Cricetulus griseus: one gene and its partner. The protein of the gene in region 1 interacts with the protein of each later gene in a biochemical or structural test. Links are inferred from orthologs where the notes say so. Each region holds a gene or a part of one and is shown on either strand. Other genes may lie near its edges.

What was found. The genes of interacting proteins can lie anywhere in the genome.
Region 2: of the proteins of Ddx58 (region 1) and Rnf135, one has a biochemical effect on the other in vitro, tested with the Homo sapiens proteins (6 studies listed by BioGRID, with this or other methods). The link is inferred for Cricetulus griseus from reciprocal best matches to the Homo sapiens genes RIGI and RNF135.

The regions. Positions count from the first base shown.
Region 1 is NC_048595.1:102,310,182-102,317,973, reverse strand, and holds the start of Ddx58 (antiviral innate immune response receptor RIG-I), read right to left. Parts: upstream 4,212-7,792; 5' UTR 4,067-4,211; coding exon 3,961-4,066; intron 1-3,960.
Region 2 is NC_048600.1:93,647,126-93,654,880, forward strand, and holds the start of Rnf135 (E3 ubiquitin-protein ligase RNF135), read left to right. Parts: upstream 1-3,469; 5' UTR 3,470-3,492; coding exon 3,493-3,840; intron 3,841-5,969; coding exon 5,970-6,110; intron 6,111-7,755.

The DNA of each region.
Region 1 (7,792 bases):
TTCTAAGGACATAGAATGCCCATTGCTAATGTAGTATAATGGACATTTATTCGCAAAATCCTCAAACATTATTATTCCTATCATACAGATAAAGAAACTGAAACAGACTTAAACCATTTTCCTGGAGTCCCAAACCTGCAAATTGAAGAATGAATTTATATAAACCATGCTTTGGAACATTTGCTTAAGATTTATGTAGTGTTGTATTTAAGAAAGCTTACAGATATGAGGAAGTTGATATACTCTCATTTTATGGGGTATAAAATTGTATATGTGGCCTCACAGTCATTCTGACTGCATTAAAAACAACCTGTATCTTCATGATACTAATGAGCTAATTCAACAATATTGATAAGATGCTTGATAACACCCAGGTGTTTTTTAGTTTTAAGTTGTCCTGCCACATTTATTTTGCAACAATGCTGTATTGTGGTGCCAGATGCTAGTGGCACTCATCTTTAGTCCCAGAACTAAGGAGGCAGAGGCAGGTGTTACTCTGAGTTAGAAGTCAGCCTGGTCTAACTCAGGTCTACAGAGTGAGTTTCAGGGTAACCAGGGCTACTCAAAGAAACCCTGTCTCAGAAAACAAACAAACAAACAAACAAAAAAACAACCAATGATACTCCAATAAAAAAAAAAAAAAAAAAAAAAAGCAGGGCAGTGGTGGCTCACACCTTTAATCCCAGCACTTGAGAGGCAAAGGCAGACAGATCTCTGTGAATTCGAGACCAGCATGGTCTACAAGAGCTAGTTCCAGGACAGGCTCCAAAGCCACAGAGAAACCCTGTCTCAAAAACAAAACAAAACAAAAATTGCATTGTGAATTAGCTATCCTTTGAAATCTTTTTTTCCTCTCTTTTTAAATTTAAATTAGAAACAATCTTGTTTTACATATAAATCCCAGTTCCCTCTCCCTCCCATGCCACACACCAACCCCCCAACCCAATCCCTTTCTGCTCTCCAGGGAGGGAGGGTGCAATCTTCCATGGGGAATCTTCAAAGTCTGTTTAATCATTTGAAACAGGGCCAAGCCCCTCTCCCCCCAAGTGTCTAGGCTGAGAGAGCATCCCTCTTGAGTGTAATGGGCTCTCAAAGTCCATTCGTACACTAGGGATAAATACTGATCCACTACCAGAGGCCCCATAGACTGACCAGGCCTCCTAACTGATACCCATGTTCAGGAGGATCTGGGTGAGTCCTATGCTGATTTCCCAGCTATCAGTCTGGGGTCCATGAGCTCCCCCTTGTTCAGGTCAGCTGTTTCTGTGGGTTTCCTCAGCCTGATCTTGACCCCTTTTCTCATCACTCCTCCCTCTCTGCAACTGGATTCCAGGAGTTTGGCTCAGTGCTTAGCTGTGGGTGTCTGCTTCCATCAGCTACTGAATGAAGGGGCTCTAGGGTGGCATATAAGGTAGTCATCAATCTCATTATAGGGGAAGGTTATTTAAGGTAGCCTCTCCACTATTGCTTAGATTTTTTTAGTTGGAGTCATCCTTGTAGATCTCTGGACATTTCCCTAGTGCCAGATTTCTCTTTAAACCTATAATGGCTCCCTCTATTAAGGTATCTCTTTTCTTGCTCTCCTTTATTCTTCCCTCGACTCAATTTTCTTGCTCCCTCATGTCCTCCTCTCCCCTCCTGTTCTCCTCCTCTCTTTCTTACAGCCCCCTCTCCCCTTCCCCCATGCTCCCAATTTGCTCAGAAGATCTTGTCTCTTTTCTCTTCTCTGGGGGGACAATGTATGTCTCTCCTAGGGTCCTCCTTTTTTCCTCAATTCTCTGGAGTTGTGGATTGTAGGTTGGTAATCCTTTGCTTTATGTCTAATATCCATATATGAGTGAGTACATACCATGTTTGTCTTTTTGTGACAGGGTTACCTCACTCAGGATGGTTTCTTCTGGTTCCATCCATTTGCTTGTGAATTTCAAGATTTCGTTGCTTTTTTTTCCCCCCACTGAATAGTACTCCATTGTGTAAATGTACCCCATTTTCTCCATCCATTCTTCAGTTGAGGGACATCTAGGTTGCATCCAGGTTCAGGCTATTACAAATAATGCTGCTATGCACATAGATGAACTGATGTCCTTGTGGTATGAATATGCTTCCTTTGGGTATATGCCTAAGAGTGGAATTGCTGGATCTTGAGGTAAACGGATTCCCTTTTTCCTGAGGAACCATCATACTGATTTCCAAAGTGGCTATACCAGTTTGCACTCTCGCCAGCAATGGAGAAATGTTCCCCTTTCTCCACATCCTCTCCAGGATAAACTGTCATTGGTGTTTTTGATTTTAGCCATTCTCAAAAGTTGTTTTGATTTGCATTTCCCTGATGGCTAAGGATGTTGAGCACTTTCTTAAATGTCTTTCAGCCATTTTAGATTCCTCTATTGAGAATTGTCCACTTAGTTCTGTACCCCACTTTTTAATTGGATTACTTGGTGTTTTGATGACTAGCTTCTTGAATTCTTTGTATATTTTGGAATCTAAGCAATAGTGGAGAGGCTACCTTAAATGCCCTTCCCCCATAATGAGATTGATGACTACCTTATATGCCACCCTAGAGCCTGTAGGATGATGGAAGCAGATTCAGTAGCTGATGGAAGCAGACACCCACAGCCAAGCACTGAGCCAAACTCCTGGAATCCAATTTCAGAGAGGGATGAGTGATGAGCAAAAGGGTCAAGATCAGGCTGAGGAAACCCACAGAAACAGCTGACCTGAACAAGGGGGAGCTCATGGACCCCAGACTGATAGCTGGGAAATCAGCATAGGACTCACCCAGACCCTCCTGAACATGGGTGTCAGCTAGGAGGCCTGGTCAGTCTATGGGGCCTCTGGCAGTGGATCAGTATTTATCCTAGTGTACGAATGGACTTTGGGAAGCCCATTCCACATTAGAGGGATGCTCTCTCAGCCTAGACACTCGGGGGAGGAGGCCCTGTTTCAAATGATATGACAGACTTTGAAGATCCCCATGGAAGGCCTCACTCTCCCTGGGGAGCAGAAGAGGGATGGGTTGGGGGGGCATGGGAGGGAGAGGGAACTGGGACTGATATGTAAAATAAAATTGTTTCTAATTTAAATTTTTAAAAAATTTAGGAAAAAAAGAAATCGGCAAATTCCTAGACACTGTCTATCAAAATTTAATGAAGAGGATATAAACAAAGAGATCTATAACAAGAAAAAAAAATCTCCAAATGAAGAAAAGCCTAGAATTAGATGATTCACTGCCTAATTCTACCAAACCTTTAAAGAAAAGGTAACATCAAGATTCTTCAACATGTGCCATAGAATCGAAGGGGAAGGGACACCAACAAACACTGTCTACAAAGCTGCCATTACTCTGATAGTGAAATTAGATTAGTACATGGTAGAAGAAAGAAAGGAAGGAAGGAAAAACAATTTTTCTGATTAACATACAAACAAGTAGCTCTCTGACATGCCTTTAACAAACATGGCAAAAAAGAAATCAGAAAAGGGGGTTACTATCCACAGTAGCCTCAAACAAACAACAAACCCTAACCCTAACCAAAGAGTTGAAAGACTACTTCAATGCAAACTTTCAAGACAGAAAAAAAAGCAAAAGAACAAAACAAACCAATTTCTTTCATCTTAAAGAGAATAAGAGACAGTTTATTCTGGCGCCATTCTGAGTGACCATGGCCCAGGAATACAGATTTAGGTTACCCCAAACTCTTAACGAAGTTTCATCCACTTTGCAGGAACTGTCCCTGACCATCAAACCCAGTTGCTGTCCAGTCTAATATGCCATAGGCGTCTGGCACAAGCCCAGTGTACCTAGGTTAGTTACCCAAACTGGCCTAAAGAAAGCAGAAAAAGGGGGGGGTGAGGAATGGGACCCCAATTGGTTTTGGCCTGAGTGTTTTTTTTTCTTTTTTTTTTTCTTTTTTCCACACCTACTTGGAAAGCCTGAGAGCCAGCGCATCTGGGAACACTCACCATCCTGGAGCCAGGGACTCATGTAGCTGAGGATGTAGGTGGGGTCCAGAGTCTTCCTGACATAGTCTCTGAACGCTTGCAGATTCTGCCTCTGTTCAGCTGTCATTCTGTGTCTCCCCCCGAGCGATGATCGCCCTGGATCCCCCAAAGCCACTAGAAGTGAGCGCTGTAGGGATTTTCCAAGAAGACACCCAGAGCCACAAGCCGCCAGGGCCTGAGAGAGGAAATCGAAACTGCCCTCGCGGCGCTGGGGGCGGGGATTCAGTTTCCTTTCTGATCCCGTGAGGCGCTGGCCAGGAGGGACCCAAAGGCTCCTTGGCAACAGCCTTGAAGTTTGCGGGCTGCTTTTGGAGTGGTGCGGTTTATATTATAAAGTGCGCACAGTTGAAGTGTACAGTTCAATGAATTCCGAAAAACCGAGACACAGTTACCTCTTCCGACAGATCAGCTGGGTCCTGCAGAAATCTCTGCTTTGTTAGGAAACTATCACCTCTTTTCCAAAGTGACAACACCAGTTTGCATTCCCACTCGGAGTTATAGAACTAAAGCTGACATGCATCTGTTGGATACAGATGGTTTTCTTTCTTTCTCTGTAGCAAATTGATAATTACTGTAGTTTTATCTTCCCATATAGTTAATGATTCTGAACACATGCCTGTCTTTGTTTAGCTATTATACTATCTTTTGAATGTGTATATTGAACATAAAAATTGTATATATTCAAATATCATATTCCTGTTTGCAGCTTACCACTCCAATTTCCTTAAAGGTGTTTTTTGATGAGTATTACATTTATATTAATAAAATATAATTATCAGGGTCTCCTTTCACGGCTTCATGACTTTTTTTTAAAATTTAAATTAGAAACAAGATTGTTTTACTTGTCAATCCCTGTTCCCTCTCCCTCCCCTCCTCACCTGCCCTGCCCTCCATGACTAATTATTTATTTAGCTTTTTTTTGTTTTTTTGTTTGTTTTGTTTTGAGACAGGGTTTCTCTGTGTAGCTTTGGAGCATGTCCTGGCACTCGCTCTGGAGACCAGGCTGGCCTCGAACTCACAGAGATCCGCCTGCCTCTGCCTCCCGAGTGCTGGGATTAAAGGCCTGCGCCACCAACACCCAGTATTTTGCTTTTTTGAAACAGGGTTTCTTGTAACCCTGGCTGCTCTGGAATTTGCTCTGTAGATCCAGCTGGCCTCTGTCTCCCAAGTGTTGGGATTAAAGGCATGTGCCACTCAGTGATTTTATGACTTTTATTAATTTCCATTCTTTTTTTTTTTATGAGAATAGGCAAAGTTTATCACTAACCACGGTTGGAAAGGATCAGAGATGCGGGTATAATTTGCTTTCTGGTTCTGTGATAAAACACTGACCAAGAGTGTTTATTTGGTTTCCTGTTTTCAAGTCCATCATCAAGGGAAGCCAAGGCAGGAACTCAAGGCTTTAGAAACCTGGAGGTTGGGATTGAAACAGAAACCATGGAGGAATACAATTTACTGGCTTGCTTGCGCTGGTTTGCTCAGAATACCTTTCTTATAACCCAGCCTAGGGATTATAGTGTTTGAAGTATGACAGGCACTTCTTCATCAATCAGCAACCAAGATGTTTCAGTACAGACCAGTCTCGTGGAGGCCATTCTCAGTTGGGTTTCCTCGTCTTTTTTTTTTTTTTTTTTTTTTTTTTTTTTTTTTCTTTTTAGAGATTTATTTATTATGTGTAGAAAGTTCGACCTGCATGTATGCCTGCAGGCCAAAAGAGGGCACCAAATCTCATTACAGATGAGATAAGCCACCATGTGGTTGCTGGGAATGAACTCAGGACCGTTGGAAGAGAGCCATCTCTCCAGCCCGAGGTTCCCTCAACTTAAAGTCCAGATTTCTGTCAAGTTGACATAAACTATGACAGATGCCCCCTGTCAGATTAATGACATTTTCTTTTATATTTAAGGTTTTTTTTTCCTTTAGCATGAATGAGTGAATTTTTTCAACTGTCTTTTTCCCCCATCTATTGAGGTGATCATATATTTGTTAACATGCCAAATTTTATTGATTTTATTTTGTTTTGATTGAGACAGGGTTCTATGTAGCCTAAAATGGCCTGAAACTCGCTATATAGCCTAGGATGACCTTTGAACTGTTCCTCCTGCTTCTGCCTCTAGAATGCTAAGATTACAAGTTTGTGCCAACATGCTTGGGTCATTGATGGACTTGTAAATTTAAATAGGCCTAGAATTCCTGGAATAAACCTCTTCTGATGACAATCTTTTCTATATACTTCTGTATTCAATTTGCTAGTATTTTCATACAGTTGGTTATTTTTTTATTTTGTCTGTGTTCATAAAGGATATTGGTCTGCAAGTTTTTGTAACACTTTTTGTGTTAGGATCCTAAGAGTTTGTGTACTAGTATATTTTTTTTCTCCTTAAGTTGAAAGACCAAAAGTTAAAATTAATAAAAGTTTAAAAACTTGGGCCCTAAATCTATACAGAGAAAGGGAACTTCTAATGGTAAAGGAAATTTTGACTCCTTATATCAGGAGTGCTGTAGCTGGTGCCTGAGTCCTGCTCTCAGAGAAGGGGAGGTGATCCTCCACCACTTGGGTCAACATTCCTGTCTGCTAATTGCTGGTCCTAAAGTTGTAAAGATCCCCAGCCCAGAGGATAACTGACAGACCCTGTGACTCTGTAACCTTATGCCTTGTCTTATCTCACTCAAATATATCTTGTTTAAAATATATAGTTACTGCTTTACTCTGTACTTTGTATGACCTTAAGTAACCATGGAAACTCTTGAAATTTGTGGCCTTCAACCTTATGGTCACATAAGATTTTTGGCTGGTTGGCATCTCATTTCCCACCATGGAGTGAGATCCAAGCTGGCCAGCTTGAACAATAAAAAGAAACCTTAGCCAGGCGGTGGTGGTGCATGCCTTTAGTCCCAGCACTCGGGAGGCATAGGCAGGCAGATCTCTGTGAGTTGGAGACCAGCCTGGTCTACAAGCGCTAGTTCCAGGACAGTCTCCAAAACCCACAAAGAAACCCTGTCTCAAAAAACCAAAAAAATAAATAAATAAATAAGATAAAATAAAAAGGAATCTTTTGCTTTTTGCATCAGAGTGTTGACTCCTTGGATTAGTCTCTGGGCTCCCGAAACCTGGCACAACAAAGTATCAACAGAATTTGCCAAAAAGACCATTTGGGCTGGGAGTCATAGTTGTCTGGATTCAATTTCATTATTACATAAAAGGCTATTCATATTTTTTTAAACTTCATCTTGAATCAATCAATTTTGGTAAGTTATGTTTTTTTTTTAAAATGGTAAAATAATTAAATGAGAATGTATTAGACTGGAGCAACTCAAAGGCCCAAAAAAGGAGCCTAGGAAATAGAAGAGGAGACAAGCTCAGCCAATCACAGGTACCAAATAGGCGTTCTTTTTGTTTGTTTTGTTTTTGTTTTTTAAGACAGGGTTTCTCTGTATTGCTTTGGACCCTGTCCTGGAACTCTCTAGACCAGGCTGGCCTCAAACTCAGAGATCCACCTGCCTCTGTCTCCTGAGTGCTGGGATTAAAGGCATGCACCACCAACACCCAGCTCAAGTAGCTGTTTTTTTACATCTTCTTGAACTGCTCACAGGAAGGTCCAGGAAAGACAAATTGCCCAAACGTCAAGCAACCAAATAATATTGCTTTCCTTATGGATTCAACTACAAACAAAAGAACTTTCCACCAACACCCTCTAGCCAAGCTCTGAGCTGCACCAGTTTGTAGGTGCTCAAATAAGCACCTTAAACATGTAATGTGGCCCAAGTATCTTCAAACACAGCACATCTGACC
Region 2 (7,755 bases), on another chromosome or scaffold:
GCGAGAACTTCCAAGAGTAGAAGTGGCCTCCAAGGCATAAATACTGTTTTCCCCCTTTGGGTTAGGTAGTTAGTTATTATTATTGTGTACCTGCGTGCATGTGCGAGGGAGTGTGTGTCACAGCATACTTGTTGTGAGAAGCAATCCTTTGCATCTTTCTGTGGATTCCAGGATCCAATTCATGTGTCAGGCTTGCATAATAAACACTTGACCTGTAGAGGCATCTCACCAGTCCTATTTGATTTCTTTTTCATTTTTATTTATTTTTTGTTCAAGATAGGGCTTCTCTATAACAGCTCTGCCTTGTCCTGGAACTTACTCTGTAGACCAGGCTGGCCTCAAACTCAGAGCTCTGCTTGCCTCTGCTTCCTGAGTTCTGGGATTAAATGCATGAGCCACCACCACCTGGCCCTATTTTATTCTTTTAGAGAAATTCTTAAGTATCCCAAACTGGCCTCCAACTGACTGTGTAGCTAAGGATGGCCTTGAACTTCTGATCCTCTTCCCTCTACTGGGTGCTGAGATCACAGGCCTGTGGCACCTTGCTCGGTGCTGGAGGTCAAACCCAGGGCTTCATGCACAAGGTAAGGGCTCTACCAACTGCTTTACATCTCCAGCCCACTCCTCGCCCCCTCCCCCGCCCCTCCCTCCCCCCACCAGCCCTTTGCAACTTGAACTACAGATGAATTTGATTTGACAGGCTGGTTTTAGTTAAAGTAGTAAATATTCTTCATAAATTCAGTGAGTTCAATTGACTCCTCCAAACTTTTAAACATATTTCAAGTATATAACATAAAATCCTTGCAAAAACATTAGCCTTCCAAAGATGTATTGAAATGAACAAGGGTCTAATTTTCCATTTTGAATATATAGGCTTAAACAAAAATACCAATAAGTAGAAGCTTAACTGGTTAAAATTGAGATTTACTTGACAAGCCTTAGAAAAAGGATGTTTGGCTTTTCTGCCTGCTATCCTCCCCCCCCGCCCCCCCGCAGCGCCGCTCTGGCTGCACTGCGCTTGCTCGGGACCCTCAGGCTAGGGCTTCTGTCCCCAGCCGCCTCCATGATCATCTACCCCGGACCTCATCAGCTATGACAGCTGTTCTCCACCATCTACAAAATCTGAGAGATCACGGACCGGCTGTGCCTGGAGGTGAAGGGCAAGATGGTCAGAGGGTAATAATGATGACTTGCTCATCGGTGGAAATGCTTCTGCCGAAGACCCAGAGGGCGAAGGTACAGTAGTCACCACTGTTGATATTTATGGTCAGGAACCACCACTTACAAGAAGCCAGCTTCACCAAAGAGGCCTACAAAAAGCACATCAAAAATTATGTGAAAGCACTCAAAGGCAAAATTGAAGAACAGAAACCTGAAAAAGTAAAAGCCTTTTATGACTTGGGTCGCAGAGCAAATTAAGCACATCCTTGATAATTTCAATAACTACCAGTTTGTTTGTTTTTTTTTTATTGGCGAGAACATAAATCCAGATGGCATGGTTGCTCTCCTGGACTCTGTGAAGATGGTGTGACTCCAGTCATGATATTCTTTAAGGACAGTCTAGAGATGGAAAAATGTTAACAAATGGGATCTATCACCTGTCACCATAACCGGCTGCTGCTTACCATCCACACAACAACAGGACGTAGGACAAATAGGACTGAGGTCATATTAAGATTTTTATTTTGACCATGATTTATTTGGGGTGGAGACTTTCCCTCCCCCTCCCTCCCTCCCTCCCTCCCTTCCTCCCTCCTCCCTCCCTCCCTCCCTCCCTTCTTTCTTTCTTTCTTTCTTTCTTTTTCTTTCTTCCTTTTAAGAAAAAAGCATGGGGGCTGGAGAGATGGCTCAGCGGTTAAGAGCACTGCTCTTCCGGAGGTCCTGAGTGCAATTCCCGGCAACCATATGGTGGCTCACAACCACCTTGAATGAGATCTGGTAACCTCTTCTGGAATGCAAGCAGAAGACTGTATACATAATAAATAAAATATTAAAAAAAAAGAAAGAAAAAGAAAAAATATGTCGGGGGCTGGAAAGGTGGCTCAGAGGTTAAGAGCACTGGCTGCTCTTCCAGAAGTCCTGAGTTCAATTCCCAGCAACGGCATGGTAGCTCACAACCATCTTTCATAAGATCTGGTGCCCTCTTCTGGTGAGCAGGCAAATATGCAGACAGAATACTGTATACGTAATAAAAATAAGTAAATAAATTTAAAAAAGAAAAGAAAAAACATGTCATGTAGGTTATTTAAAAATAAAGTGCATTTAAATTTTTTTTAAAAAAGTTTTTTGGTATAATTCCTCAAAAGTAAAAAAAGTGAATTTTGCTTGTTTGTTCATTTGCTTGGTTGTTTGTTTTTCCTACTTTTTTTTTTCTTTTTTTTTTCTTTTTTTTTTGAGACAGGGTTTCTTTGTGTAGTTCTGACTGTCCCGGAACTAGCTCTGTAGACCAGGATGGCCTCGAAGTCATAGAGATCCACCTGCCTTTGCCTTCTGAGTGCTGAGATTAAAGGAGTGTGCCGCCATCACTGCCCGGCCCAAAATAAAATATTTTTTTAAAAATTCAATTAAAAACCCTGCTAGGAGATTATTAAAAATAATTTCTGGGGACTAGAGAGATGGCTCAGCTGTTTAGAACACTGCTCTTCCGAGGACCGATGTGAAGTTCCCAGCAGCCACATGGCAGCTCACTACTGTCTGTAACTCCAGTTCCAGGGGACCCGACAGACACATGTGCAGGCAAAACACCAATGCACATTATAAATAAATAAGTAAACAAACAAATAAATAAAGTTATTTTAAAAAATAGGCCGGGCGTTGGTGGCGCATGCCTTTAATCCCAGTACTCGAGGATCTCTGTCGGTTCGAGGCCAGCCTGGTCTCCAGAGCGAGTGCCAGGATAGGCTCCAAAGCTACACAGGAAACCCTGTCTCGAAAAACAAAACAAACCAAAATAAATAAATAAATAAATAAATAAATAAATAAGTAGTCAGATGGTGTTGGTGCACACCTTTAATCTCAGCACTGGGTAGGCTAGAGGCAGGCAGATCACTGGGAGTTTGAGGCAAGCCTGGTCTAGAGAGCGAGTTACAAGACAGCCAAGGATATACACAGAGAAACCCTATCTCGAAAAACTAACAAACAAATCTGAATTCATCCTCAGCCTCGCTGCACTGCTACTCAGTCGTTTTTTTTGTTTTGTTTGCGCACATCTCAGAAAACAAAATGCGACACCTACTGGGCGCAACACTAAAATGAGTTCCTGTAGCGAGCCCTCTTCATAGTTTAAGTTGTTAGGGTTGCTTGTTATGGATGTAGGAGCGGGAGTCACTGGATTGACAGATGATTTTCCAGGCTGGAGGTCAACCAGCTAGCAACGCCAAGCACTTTTAGAGGCTGGGAAGAATGAGAGCGGCTGGGAGGGGCATACGGTGGGCTAGGCGGAGCTAGTAAAGTGGGTGGGGCAGACCAGAGCCTTCCAGGCCACCGCCCAGTATGGCGGCCCCAGTCCTAGGCACTTCGATTCCTGTGTGGTTGAGCGAGGAGGACCTGAGCTGCATTATCTGCCAAGGGCTGCTGGACTGTCCCGTCACGCTGCCCTGCGGCCACAGCTTTTGCCACCGGTGCCTCAATGGCTTGTGGGTCACGCAGCGCGCGGGTGTGGATGGCCGTCCCTGGGCATGCCCCACCTGCCGGGAGGGCCCCGAGGCGAAGCCAAAGCTGCGCAAGAACCTGCTGCTGCAGGACCTGGCGGACAAGTACCGCCAAGCGGCGCTCGAGCTCGAGGCTGGCCCCGCAACCGCGTCCGCGCCCCGGTCGCCGAGTCGCCCCGCGCCACCGCCGGTAGGAAGCCCACACCGCTCTGGCAGCCCGCGTGCGCCCCCTTGGGCCTCTCCTGCCTTCGCGATCTCTTCTTCCGCTACGTGATTTTATCAGTTTAATCTGTTTTCGGGAGTATCTTTGAAAAGTTCAGACTTGTATAAAGAAGTAGAAATGCCCGGCGTGGAGATCGCACGCCTGTAATCCCAGGATTTGGGAGGCTGAGACGGGCATGCCTCACAGCAGCCAAAGCTACATAGTAAGGTCTGGTCACAAACGATAGTTAAAAATCTCATAATAGTTGAAAATCTAAATCCCATCCAACCGAGGTGTATTTCCATTTATTCGACAGCCTTTCTGTGATGTCTAAAAAATTTGCCATTTTAACATTGTTTAATTCTATTTATCGGGGCAGGATCTAACTAGTGTAGACCAAGCTGGACTTGAACCTGAAGTGAGTAATGATCTCTGCCTCCTTGGCTTTCCAAGTCTGGGATTACAGGTGTGAACCACTTGAACTTGCAGAGCTCTGCTTGCCCCTGCTTCTCAAGAGCTGGGATTAAAGGCATGTGCCACCATGACTGGCCAACCATTTGAACAATTTTTTTCAGTGTACAGTTCGATGGCATTTGTCATATCTCCAACACTGTGCATCTGTCACCGCTGTTGCCAAAGTGATTTTATCGCCACATAGGACCTCTGTACCCACTAAGCTATAACACCTGATTCCTGTCCCTCCAGCCTCCGCACATGTCTCATCTACTGTACCAGGCTTTTTCTTTTGAACCACCAATCAGCTCCCAAATATGACTCCGAGACTTCTTTTTTGTAGACCAGGCTGACCTTGAGTTCACTGAGATCCACCTGCCACTGCCTCCCAAGTGCTGGGATTAAAGTTGTGGGCCACCACTGCCGGGTTTGACATGGAGCCTTCTTATTAGTTGTGAATGTTCAGCCTAGTTTAGGCTCGTTTGTGGCTAGCTCTTTAAGTTAACCTGTTCCCCCCTTTTTTCTTTTCCTTTTGCTTCAAGCTTTTTACTTTTCGTTCCTAAGGTTTATTTTAATTTACTGCTTCTCTTCTCTAGCTGGCTGGTAGCTGCCTGGCATCTTGCCCTGGGTGTATATCTCTCTTTCTTCCCTCATTCTCTCCCCTCTCTCCCTTTCTCCCTTTCTCTCTCTCTCTCTCTCTCTCTCTCTCTCTCTCTCTCTCTCTCTCCTGTCTCTCCCTTTCTTTCTTGTTTGCTTTTAAGATTTATTTACTACGTACACATTCTGCCTGCATGAGAGAAGAGGGCACCAGATCTCATTACAGATGGTTGTGAGCCACCATGTGGATGCTGGGAATTGAACTCAGGACCTCTTGAAGAGCAGCCAGTGCTGTTAACCTCTGAGCCAGCCCATGCCTAACTTCTTTCATTCCCATAATATTTTCAGGGCGAATTCATGTTGCAGCATGTATCAGAACACCCTTGCTTTAGGTGGCTATCATATCATCTATGTAGATATATCACTTTCTAATCAATTTATTTGTTAATGAACATTTAAATTGTTTCTACATTCGACTATTATAACTACTGCTACAATGTACATTATCTTACAATTGAGTTCCTATTTTCAGTTTTACTCTTTTCAATTGGGGACTTATCTGAGGGCCCCAGGGGTTCCAGGCATGCATTCTCACCCAGCCTCTCATTTGATTTTCTATATAGTATTGGGCAAGAATCTAACTTCAGGCCAGGCGTTGGTAGTGCACACCTTTAATACCAACACTTAGGAGGCAGAGGCAGGCAGATCTCTGTGAGTTTCAAGCCAGCCTGGTCTATGTGCAGAGCTCCAATATAGCCAGGACTACGTAGAGACAACCTGTCTCAAAAACAAACCAAAGGATCTAACTTCATTGATTGGTATAGGGATATACATTTCTAGTTAGTATTTGTTGAAAATACTTCTTGTGCCTTTAAGTAGTCTTGGCATTCTTGTAAAAATCTATTTCATGGTATATCTGAAGATTTGTTTCTTGTCTCTCTCTTCTTTTCCATCACTCTAAATGTTTTCTTTCATGTTGCTACCTTGGCGTTTATAGCTCCCTTTGTTGAGTGGTGGTTCTGGGTCCAGTTTTTGGGAACCAGAAGCCCAGTTTCACTCTTTTAAAGGTGGCAGTACAGAAAAACACCACAGAAGAGGTCATCCAGGAGCTGACAGAACTGATGCAACAGCTTGTAGACATTGTCAAGAGCCTTCAAACATCAAGACCGGGATCTGGATTGGACAATGAACTAGGCATCCTGGGCATGGTAGGTTCAGGTGGGAAAGGAGGGGCCAGGGTGAAGGACAGCTTCCAGCTAAAGCAGTATGACACATGGGATGCAACAGGTCTCATGTTTCTCTTTACTACCAAATATGGGTGATTAGAAATCTGGCATGCTCGACATGAGTTAATGGAAGCTTCGAGTAAGCTGGGATCCATCCTTCCCACTCTACCCAGTCAACTCTCTAAAATCACCAGCAAGCTCTTGGTAAATCCCACAGATTTGAAAGTCCTTATCTTCAGTGACCTTTACATTTTTTTAAAGATGTATTTATTTTATGTGTTTGAGTATTTTGTCTACATATATATATATATACACACCATGTGCATGTCTGGTGCCTGTAGAGGTCAGAAAGGGTGTTGGACCTCCTGGAATCAAAGTTACAGATGAGTATGAGCCATCATGTAGGTGCTGTGAACTGAACTCAGGTCCTCTACAAGAGCAACAAATGTTCTTAACTGCCAAGTTAACTCTCCAGCCCCATTCAGTGACCTTTTAAAAATATTTTATTATTGTATGGAAGAAAGAGTTTGTGTGTGTATATCAGCGAGTGTGTGTGTGTGTTGTAGGGGAGCGGAGAGGAGAGAGAGAGTAGGGGAGGGTATGGGTTTGTAGGGGAGATCAGAGCATAACTTTCAGGAATCCATTCTCATCTTCCACTGTAGGTCCCAGGGATCTAACTCAGGGTGTGGGGTTTGTTCAGCAAGCATCTTTACAAGCCAAACCATCTTGCTAATGCCCCCTTTCTCCTTTTGAGATGAGATTTTGTTGTGTTGTCCAGTCTAGCCTTCAACATGAACTCATGGTCTTCCTAAACCAGCCTCCTGAGTATCCCCATTGTGCTCACTCTCCAGGTTGCTTCATTTGCTTTTGTTTTATGCTACAGGATCTGTAGCCTAGGCTGGCCTTGAACTCAGAAAGTTGGCCTTGAACTCCTGATCCTCCTACTTCTACTACTTTCTTGCATCTCAACTTTTCCTCTTGGGTCTCTCAAAACCATCACAGTTAAGTGCCCCAATCCTCTGGGGATTCTCCATCACTGCCTTGGTCTCATTCTTCCAAATACACAAGCCAGAAGCCTGGAAGTCATGTCACTTCCTCTACCCTAACCGGTCTAGCAGCACACTGAGGTTCCACAGCCAGCCGAAGTATCTTCCAAATCTATTCACCCTGAGCTCCTATGAGAATTCTCTAGTCCAAGCCTATGATGATCTTTTGCCTGGATTGTCATCACAGCCCTGCAAATATTCCACTCTATTTTAGTCAACTCTCTTCATACAGATATGACCATGTAACTCATCTGCTTGAAATACTCTGATGACGTTTGTTTAACCCGAGACAATCAGTTTTTAGCTCTCTGTTTACAGGCGCCCATTGGCAATGGCAGAAACATGTAGTGTGCAGAATCTCGGAACTTCATGGCCGGGGAGTAGAAGAGAGGTAGAGGCAAGGAGTGGCTCATGCCCCCAATGGCCTAAAGAGCTTACTATGCTCACCTCCTAAAGGTTTCACTACCCCATTTATGGCGCCCTGGGGATTAAGCATTACTAGATGGCCTTTGGGGAGCCATGTATGATCCAAACTATGGCAGTGTCTGTTTGGGATTAAAACCCCAGCAAAACCATAAGGG